Linked DNA regions of Drosophila melanogaster. The protein of the gene in region 2 interacts with the protein of the main gene of each other region in a pairwise test. Each region holds a gene or a part of one and is shown on either strand. Other genes may lie near its edges. The genes, in order: mav and GckIII.

Region 1 (5,590 bases), on a different chromosome or scaffold from region 2:
AATTTAAATAAATAACGTTCATATCTATGTTAGAACATTTATATACATATTCTTAATAATTAATAATCAAACAAACAAGTGCATCAGTGCAGACAATTTTTTCTTTCGTCTTTGGATTGTATATAATCAATTTCCTTATATTTTCAAAAAATACAAACTATTGGATTTTTGTTGAACACTATAAAAAGCCGTTTGATGCAATGTACCTAGCCACATTTTTTTATATTCACGTGAAAAAAACTAGTACTTTTCCTATGCGCTCCCCAAACTTCGACAGGAAAATCAATGTGCGCCTGATGTACTGAGATTTCTTTTCGATTTGTTAAAGTAGTCATTTTGTTTTTACGATTAGCAAAAACCAAATCATTCTAACCACGCTTTTCGAGACCTCTTTCTCATATTATCAGGACTGCAATCATGCAGCTTTTAGTGATTCCTGCGCATCACTGGTTTTTGCATAGGACTGACTGCCTTCTACATCTAAACGTCTTTATCTTCCCTCAAGGAATTCGCCAAAAGTCATTAGTGCAATAGCGGTAATAAAACACACAATTTGTAAATGCCGCTATACGAACAAAAAATATTTCTATTTATTCAGCATTGTTACATGTTTAAAAATTCACAAAATTTGAACCAAATGAGAAACAAAACTTAAAAACGAATAATAGAATATGTATGTAAGAATAATTCGTTAGAGAAAGTTTTTTTTACGAACAGGCACATTCTACAACCTGCATATCACTCCATGTCGAAATTTTGAGTTTGTCGCTGTGGTTTTCGTCAACATGCAATATTTCAAGCATCTCAAGCTTTGAAGGAGTACAGCATGGACGGGGGGCTCTTTTGTGATCTTCTTGCCATATCAGACTTTGCAGTAGGGCGTGGTGGTGGGCGGGATTGTGACGTGGTGGACATCTTCCGTGGCAGTACCCTGCATCGAATACCTTCGGCTGTAAAATGAATTCGAATCCCTTAATGCTCTTAAAGGCAACATCCAATTGATTTCTACAACATCGTTGGTGCAATTTGTAACAGTTGTTGGTCCACTTATCTTTTCTCCAGGTGCTATCATGGTTTGAACGGTGATGCACGTATTGATCGCTTCTATTATTGGTCAGCATGATTTGGTGAATATCCGCGTCGCCGTGCTGTTGGGAATTCAGCGTTCCGTGTCCAATTATATTAAGAACTGGCATGAGGTTTAAGTGTTCGTCGCTTGAGGCGGTCGAGCGTGGTGGTGTTGACGGGCTGAAATCACTCAATATACGAGCCCCTATACTTTTACATTTATCACATTGAATTTCTATCCCCAAGTTTTCATGGCTTTTGTTCAACCAACTACGAACAGCTTTGGTCACGTCAAATTCTATCCACTGTGTTCGAGTTTCTTGGAAGCCAACATTTCCAAATTCAATTTTACGAGACGTTATCTTTCTTCGTCTATTCGCTGAAAGAAGTTGATATACTTTTAAAGTTAATTGCTGGCTACTATTTTTGTTAGATTGGTTCAAATTGACATCACCAAAATTACAGTGCCTTTCGATGTTATCATTCCCGGAAATTTGACTGATCTTATTTTTCCTAGATCCTGGCCCTCGTCGGAAATTTGTTGCCAACGATGAACTATAGAGAAGCATAAGCCTAACATTGGCCTCGTCGATTTTATCATGGTGAAAATTTGCATCTTGTGCATTTGTCAATGGAAAGTGTAAAAGAATATTCATTGTATCCTGTTCGCCACGTAGTAGGTCTCCATAATTTTGATGCTTTTTTGGGTTTTGGTTTAATCTGTTAATTTTTTTAAGCGACCTTCTATGGCGCAATCGTTTGTTGCTTATATCATTGAATCCGTTTGTGGTAATGCTTAGAAAATGTAGGTCTCTTGTAAAGGAAGCTCCCATGAAGTTGTTAAAATAGCTGTTGCCCTTCTCCTGGTTACTTCTTAGGCGACTTAAGTATTCTATATATTTGCTGGAATATTCAGCTTGGCTTATATTGACCTGTAAATAAATAATATCCTTTAGGTGGACCCTTCTGTATACGGTTTGGCATAACACTGCACAGCTTTCTTTTACAGGACGTGACAATAGCTGTAATTTAAATCTTACCTTTCTCATATCTGGTAGTTTTTTAATTCCAAGGCCCTTCAAAACGAGGTGCTTTAGTCTGGTTTCATCTACTCTTTTTGATGGCTTACTATGCCTCTTAGTTTCTAGGCCGATATCCCTAGTTTCCCTCGTTTGCCTACTTTGAATTGGTACGGTGTTTATCCACTGAACTGACAATTTTTTATTGAATAATTGAGGAAAGTTTTTTGACTGGCTTACATTAATCAGACTATATTTATTTGAACTGGCATTGTAGATTGAGTCTCTGCTTTGTTTGCTAAAGCTTTCAAATACATTTTTAAGACCCATTTTCGGAGTTGATTTGGCTCGGATTATTGGATGTTGATTTGTTTCTAGTCTCTTAGCTTCATTTTCTAAATTTTGAAGCTGCAAATTGGTAAATGTAATATTTTCTTTAGGCTGATAGTATGAAAATACTGCTTTTGAACTTGACGTTTGGCGGAATATGCCATGGCCACTGACTTGATGCTGAGTTGACATCAATAAAATCAATATAAACCATATTTTGTAAAGCTTTAGTGACCTACTACAAACTAGGGTGAGCTTAGCCTCAGCATTATCAGTAATAGGCGGATGTTTGCAAGGAGGTTCTCGTGCTTTAGAGTTTCTTATAGTTATGGTATGGTGAACACAAATATGCCACAAAATACTAACGATCCAGTTGGACTTGTTCAAAAGCGATGGAAATATTTTTATTGTACGGTTACTAACTTTACATTTATGTTGAAAAGAGTCGCACCACACAGCTGTTTCCTTTTTTGGCGTTAAGTTTGGATTAATGTCTATTATCATGTTTTCTCCGCATGGCCATTAGGGTTCCTTTGCTAATGTCAATTATAAAAATGATTATCGTTCTTCCAGTCGATCAATCTTCCAGTATGTACTCTTCTTCAAAATTACACATTCGCATGCCTACATATGTATATACATACTAATGAACGTTGGCAAGTATCTACATATGTATGTAGGCTCAGAATCTCTGTAAAAATGTTCACATCCACACCATTACTTATTAGGTTAAATCTGCACGAGTTTGTTGATTGCATTGATCTTATTTTCGGGATTTCGTTTACGGCACTTAATTTAAAGAAACAAAAAATTTCTTTCGGTAAAGTAAATAAATGATCACAGTTCCTCGAAAATGTGTATATATTTTCGTCTCGGTCGCACTCTCATTAACATTCTTGTACACATCGATACGGAACCTGTTCGGACATTGCTTCAAATTCGACTAAAATACCCACAGCAAATGCTTACTTAACAGCAGCAATATGAACATTAGTCTCATACCCCCACACACACCCACACATCTGCAGTGGACTCATGCACGTCTTACAAACACAAGATTTTCTGGGTGTTGCGTTGTGTGTACCTGTGTACAGGCGTATTCACATGCAACATCCCTTACATCTTGCTTGATTATACTCCGCCCGCCGTGCATTCCCAGGATAGGCTTTGCTCCCTTTCCCATAACCAGATCGGATTCGGAGAAAAAATTGTTTCGAATTGTTCGAAAGTGTGGGGCATGGCAAAGTGTTTTTGGTGTACCTATAGAGATTGGCAAGACAAGTGACAAATCAATAGAAATTTACAAAACTAAAAGTATAAAAAAAATGCACAAGTGTGGGCGTGGCAGTTTTGGGCGGTTTTAGGGCGTGGCAAACTTGCTCTGCTTCTGTCTCTAGAAGTTGCATTCTTAATCGCAACATTCTATTTTTTATAGTTCCTGAGATCGAGGCCTTCATACGGACAGACGGACACAGACAGTTCGACTAGGCTATTGATCCTGATTTGCTCGAAAACGTTTCCTTCTGTCTGTTATATGGTTTTCGAGTAACTGGTTTAAAAACCCTAAGGTGGCATATGGCTCATATTTCCAATCGCGCATGTTCAGGTACAACCAAAAACTATGTTTTCCCTAAGCATAGTTGTAGCAGAATACTATTATCTTTTTTAAATTATATTTTGATTTTTTTACTCGTATTTAAATATTGAATATTGATATATTTTCTAAAATACCTTAAATTATTGAATAGGGATTTCTTATACATAAAATATTTTCTCGAAAAGTGTGTACATTTATGTTTCCTTTTTTTATTAAATTTGTTAAACGAAATTATTTAATTGACCAGCGTACTTCTTAGACAACTTAATCTAATCGGTATCAATTTAAACGAATCTGAATATCTAAGTTATTTACAAAGATTATATGATTATGAGTATTCAAGAAGTGGAATGTGAGGCTATAATATTTAGAAGATTATAATTAAGTAAGTTTTATGTGAAGTCTCGGTTAGTCAGGTCTTGAGGGTGGTGGCGTTTCAATCTTCTTCTCGTTATTCTCCGATGGCTTTGGGCTGCGATACTTAGTCGTCTAGCTAGACTATTCGGATAAGATTCTAGTCTGTGCTTATGTTTCCTGACCCTATATTTTTGAACTCCATAGTAAGCAAGGCAGGCAAATTGCTGATCAAACGGTACTTAGGAATAATAAATGACAAAAGACATAGTAAAAGAACAAAGAAGCGCCTAGCACTTTTTCCTCTCTGTATTTTTGTTTCTCTTAACTTGCATTTTACATTTTGAATCGTCAGAGTTTTCTCAAAGACACTAGAATTCTTATTCTAGGGTCTTTGGTTTTCTGGTGTCTGAGAAATGTTTTTCAGGTACATTACATATATATGTACATTATTCATAAATATGTATATAAAAAATATTCAATAAAATAAAAACTGAATTACTTAATGTATTTATTTTTTATATTCTTTGGGAACTTTTCCTGCTGTTTAGATATAAGACATTCAAAAGCATCCGTGTGGTCGATTTCTAAACGTATTTAAGAAACATTACTGAGTGAAGTTCACGAAAGCTTTGTAATAAATATATGTAAATATCCTAGAAATATTAATTTCGGAAAACACCCTGAAGCCTTTCCGGGATGCAAACGGATGCGTTTTGAATTGGGAGGTTTACAAAGTGATTGTAAAAAACTTGTCTCAATGTGATTAACGTAAGTGCGATATTTTGTAGAGCAAAATGATGACCACTTCGTCAATCTTAATCTAATTTTCCACATCGCTATGACCTTTGCTCGTAAAGCAAAAGGAAGCTTTTCCGACCATACATATAAAGTATATAAATTAAGCACTTATTAAGTTAAGACAAATAATAATTATTATTCTTTATTAAGTGCATCAGAATACGACTGATCACTTTTGAGCTGTGTTTAAAACTAAACTACAATTTCATATTCAAATATTTATAGCGGCACTTCTGCCTACTTATGATAACATATATATTCATGGGAAGGATCAGTAACCTGTTTCTTGTGTCATATTTTTATTACTCTTGTAAGTTTTTGTCAATTTGCCAAACCATATTTGACTTCGCCACCTCTAACGTAGTATTCCATACTGTGTGCATAATAACTTATTATTCAAAGAAGAATACAGATTTAAAAC
Region 2 (4,897 bases):
CATTGTCCTCCACAGCCTCCTTTGCCACGTCATCCAGGTCGGGGTCCTCGTCCTCGCCGTGGAACAAGTTGTCGAACTCGGCCACATCTATTTCCATGCCGTCTTCCAGGCTGGCAAAATCCTATAAAACAATATCGTCCATCAAGAAGAGACGCCACTTGGGTTTCTACGGACTCACCGCCATTTTACTGGACCAGGCCTTAGAGCGCTCGTAGACCATTGCCTCCAGTGTTTCCTCGTCCACCACCGCATTCGCCATGGTTATGTAGTTATCAGTTCACGGAATACTTGATTAAAATTTATAAAAACTAAAAGAAATCTTAAAACACAAAAATAAAGAGTCAACAAAAATGGCGTTGCCACTGGTGTTACCGTCTCCAAGGCGCCAAAAAATACACCAAAACGCGACTTAACTAAACACGTCCCATTTTTATTTATATAAAACAAATAGAAAACTTGGGTTCCTCATTTCCAATAAGGTCGTTTTGATGTTCTATTTGCACGGCTTTTTGATTATAATTATTATTTATTTAACGATATCCTGTTTATTCAATTTATTTATTTTTTTATTTACTGCATTTTTCGCTAGCGTCCAGCGTTGCCAGATCAAATGAATACTCGGAGTCACCAATGATGCCAAGTTCGCATTAGCGCGCCAAAATCGAATTGTTTATTTTTGTGGGGTTTTTATTTTGAAGTTATATATGTTTTACATTAGATTAATATTGCAGATAAACAAACGAATACATATTATATGCTTAAATAACTGTTCAATTGAAATACATGTACATCGCTCCCGGTCCTCTGTTGGCCACTAAATGTCGGAATATGTCTGCTCCAGCGTTTCAGTTTGTGTTGTCTCGGTGTCGTTAATAAAGTTGTGTATATATTAAAATAGGCTGCTTGGAATCGGAATTTGCTACGGCTTCGCCAGCTACTTGCGGTTGCGTATGGCGCGGTCCATGATCGTATTGATTCGCGTCTCCGAGTAACCAGGAACGAGCATGTGGATCAGCTCTTTCATAAATAGGTCGCTCACTCCCGGACTGGAACGTTCGGCCAGCTCGAACACAGACTTCAGGTCGCCGATGTCGCTGCCGACGCCTATGTTACGGCCGCCTGATCCTCCGCTTCCTGCAGATCCTCCGCCGGAGTACTTTCGCTGGATGTCGCTCAGCACGGGGAAGAGGAAGTTGTTCAGACAGGCGCTGTTCGTTTGGACTAGGCGTTGTCCCGCCCCAGAGTGCTTGACATGGCTGGCATGGTTGGTGGCCACATGCTCCTCGTGGCTGTGGTTGTTGCTACTGCTGCTGCAGCTGGCAACCAGCGCGGCGTTATTTGCATGGAATGATTCACGTTGGCTGCTGCGGCGCTGTTGCTGCTGCTCAGCCGTCGATGGAGTCGGAACCGACGACTGCAATGGCAGGCCCAAAGAGGCACGGCGATCCTCTACTTGATCCAGAGGGGCGGCGGATCGCGACTGGCGCAGCTCCGGCTTCGAGCTGGAACGCTTCTGCTGCAGCTCACTGGCCGACGACGAGCTTGTGACGCTGCTCGGCGGAGGAGCTGCGTTCAGCATGGTGGTGGTGGCATGCTTGTTGCTCAAGTTTCTGATGTTATTGTTGTTAATGTTGTTGTGGTTGTGGTTGTGGACGTGACTGTTCTGGGGGGGCAGGGCGGATGCAGAGGAGACACCTTCGTTGGCTGTAATGACCGATACGGAGGAAGCTGACGCCGCCACGGCGGACACAGAGGACGATAATGCATTTGCAGCAGGGGACGCTTGCACGCCACCACCGCCGGCTGGCGAGTGTGTGGTCTGCATCAGCTTCTGCATGGTTAGCTCGTGCTCCTGCAACTGGAAGCTGTTGACACCCGCCCGCGGAGCACTGTTGATATGCAGGCCCTTGACGGTCATGATCCAGGGCTCATCCTGGCTGCTGCCGCCCTGCTTGGCGTCCGAGTCCGAGTCAGAGTTCTCAGACTCCGTCTCACTTTCGTCGCCCTTGGAGACCTTCCACTTCTTGAAGCGGTCGATCAGGTCAATCAGATAGGCGTTCTTCTTGGCCTTCTTGATGAACGGGTACTTGAGCAGCTCCTTGGCCGTGGGCCTGTTCTCCGGGTCCTTGTTTAGGCAGGCCTCCACAAAGTCCTTAAAAGACTTGGTATAGCTGCCCGTCAGCTGGGGTGGATTGTTCTTGGGGATGAGGAAGAGCACGCGCATCGGATGCAGCTCCGAATTGGGCGGCTCACCCTTGGCCAGTTCGATAGCCGTGATGCCCAACGACCAGATGTCCGCCTTGGCATCGTACTGTGACTGCTTGATCACCTCGGGCGCCATCCAAAAGGGCGTGCCCACGAAGGTGTTCCTCTTGGATGTGGTGTTGGTCAGCTGGCCAGCGACTCCAAAGTCCGCCAGCTTGACATCGCCCTGTTCGCTCAACAGAACATTGGCCGCCTTGATGTCGCGATGCAGCTTGCGCTCCGAGTGCAGGTAGTCCAGGCCCTTAAGCACTTCGCGCAATATGATCCCGATGTGCATTTCCTCGAAGGAGCCGGCCTTCATGAGGTCCAAGGCGGATCCACCGCCCAGGTACTCCATGATGATCCATAACTTGGTGCCCTTAAGAAAGCTGCCATAGTACTTCGTCACGTACGGCGAGTCGCACTGCGACAGCACCATGATCTCCTGCTGGATGTCGTCGATCTCATCTTCGGCCTCCTCCAGATCGATGATCTTGATGGCCACCACTTGCTGGGTGCGGTTGTCGATGCCCTTGAACACCTCGCCGAAGGAGCCCTTGCCGATGCGCTCCTGCTTGGTGAAGATGAGCTCTGGATCGACTTTCTCCGTCCAGGACATGTTTCCTATCTGGTTTCTACTTCCCACTTCGTGGCTTCTGGCTCTCCTCCTCCACCTCCTTCTGGATTCACGGGTTTCCTTGTTACTCCGCTGGCTCTCGACTGGCTTGTGTTGGACCCAACTGGACTGAACTGTTCTGCGGGCTATTTGGTGGCTGAACTACTCTGCGGGGGCACTTGACTAATAATTTTTTCGTTGGTATCTCATCTAATCCGAGAAATCTCTCTTTTTTTTGCTGTATCGCAGCAGTATCGAATACCGATTGAATATCGATATTCTCCTGTCGATATCGATATCTTTCCAGCTGTTGATTAGAGCCGCCAGCCGAAAAATAAATATTAAAATTAATTTTTTATTTTAATTGTAATAATATTTATTTCACGATTCGTATGTATTTTCTTAACTCTGGCAGAGCAATTCTTATTCTTTCACTAATATAATAGTTATTAATTTCCCTAAGATTATTTAACTCGTTAGCAGTTCCGAAAAGCTTAAATAAGATTAACTTATTCATTTATTTTCCTATTCGACTTGTGTCAAAGCTTACAATATATAAATATTAGATGTTAACTATTTTATTTCTTTACCCACTTCTGTAATTACAAAACCCATTTGGCAGCGTTGCCACATAATATTGAATATTGGAAAGCGTTGCATCGATACCCGCTAAAAACTTAATGTTGCAGAATGAATTTACATCGAGTCCCTCATTTTTAGTTTATTGTAAATGGATGTAGTTATCGAGTATAAATAAAAACAACTGGTTTCCAAACGATGCAACTAAAATGATTTTTTCGCCATCACTAAGGATTCAATTTCACATCATTCAAAATAATTTTCTTTAAGCTTAATATCGCAATTGATGGGTTATTTTAATACATAAAACACATAAGTTACTTATATCTGAAAAAGAAAATCGCAGTGCCTTCAATACCCATGCATACACCAAAAATTCAGATATTTCGTTTTAATGTACTTTATTTATGAAATGTGTTACATTTTTCTTTTTTTCTTTTGATATAGCGAAACAATACATGAACTCGGCGAAAAGACTTTCACAAATATGTGTTTTATATAAAAATTTCTTAAACAGATTACTACAAGTATGGGTTTTCTACGGTTGGTACCCACTTTTGCCTGGGTACAGATCGTCAGATTCGTCGGTGGTTGTCTGCGACCCGGGAGTTCGCGAGGAGACAACCAGCAAGGAATCTGTGACAGAACGGTGATTTTCCTGACGAAAAACGACCCGACGAGTCCTAGCTATAAAACTTTCTCTTAACATGTTACTTTACGTCAGAACATAAATTACCAAAGAGGGTGAAACAGATATGCTAAGACAATCTTATCAACTAAGGGAAGGGTATTATGTGGTCTGGCCTGTTGTATTACATAATTGAGCAGATGGATCGGCCCTCGGCAGCGACCGCGGCAACATCAGCCACCTCTACAACAGGGTCAATGTTTTCTCCATCGCTGGACTCCTTGTCGCCATCCTGGCCATTGACGTTCTTATCCTCGACATCCTTCTTGGCGGGGATTTCCTCCGCTCCGGCCTCCTGACCAACGGTCACGTCTTCGGCCGGTTGTTCCTCCTCCACATCAACCTCTTCTGGTACGCCAGTCGTAGATGTGTTCAGATGTTGCTCCTCCACGCCGGAACTGTTCGGCTCCAGACGCAGACGGGTCGGAGTACCGATTGTTGCCTTGGAGAATCTCGAGCGCAGCAAGCTAAAGGGAGAAGCCAAATTCAGGCTGAACAAGTCGAAGCGGGCGCGCTTTGGCGGCGACATATCCACGTCGTGGCCCAGGTCACTGGTCGACTGAGAGGCCGTCAGTGGTGGGGGAGTGCGTTCACGCTTGCGGCCACGGCCAAAGAATGAAAATGAAAATGACGAGCTGTTGGGGATCTCTGATCCGACTGTGGCATTCATGCTTGCGTTCGTGCAGTTCGAGGTGTCCAGATCGCTGTTCCCGCACCTGTAGGTGCCTATTTTCGAGGGCGTCAGTGAGTCGATGGGTCGTATGCTACGC

What was found.
Region 1: the proteins of GckIII (region 2) and mav interact in a two-hybrid assay, tested with the Drosophila melanogaster proteins (one large-scale study listed by BioGRID).

The regions. Positions count from the first base shown.
Region 1 is NC_004353.4:622,664-628,253, forward strand, and holds mav (maverick), read right to left. Parts: upstream 3,369-5,590; 5' UTR 2,922-3,368; coding exon 2,109-2,921; intron 2,001-2,108; coding exon 708-2,000; 3' UTR 556-707; downstream 1-555.
Region 2 is NT_033777.3:17,083,764-17,088,660, reverse strand, and holds GckIII (germinal centre kinase III), read right to left. Parts: upstream 3,149-4,897; 5' UTR 2,864-3,148; coding exon 935-2,863; 3' UTR 673-934; downstream 1-672. Other genes in the region: cal1 (chromosome alignment defect 1), read right to left, coding at 1-121, 179-259; kuk (kugelkern), read right to left, coding at 4,252-4,897.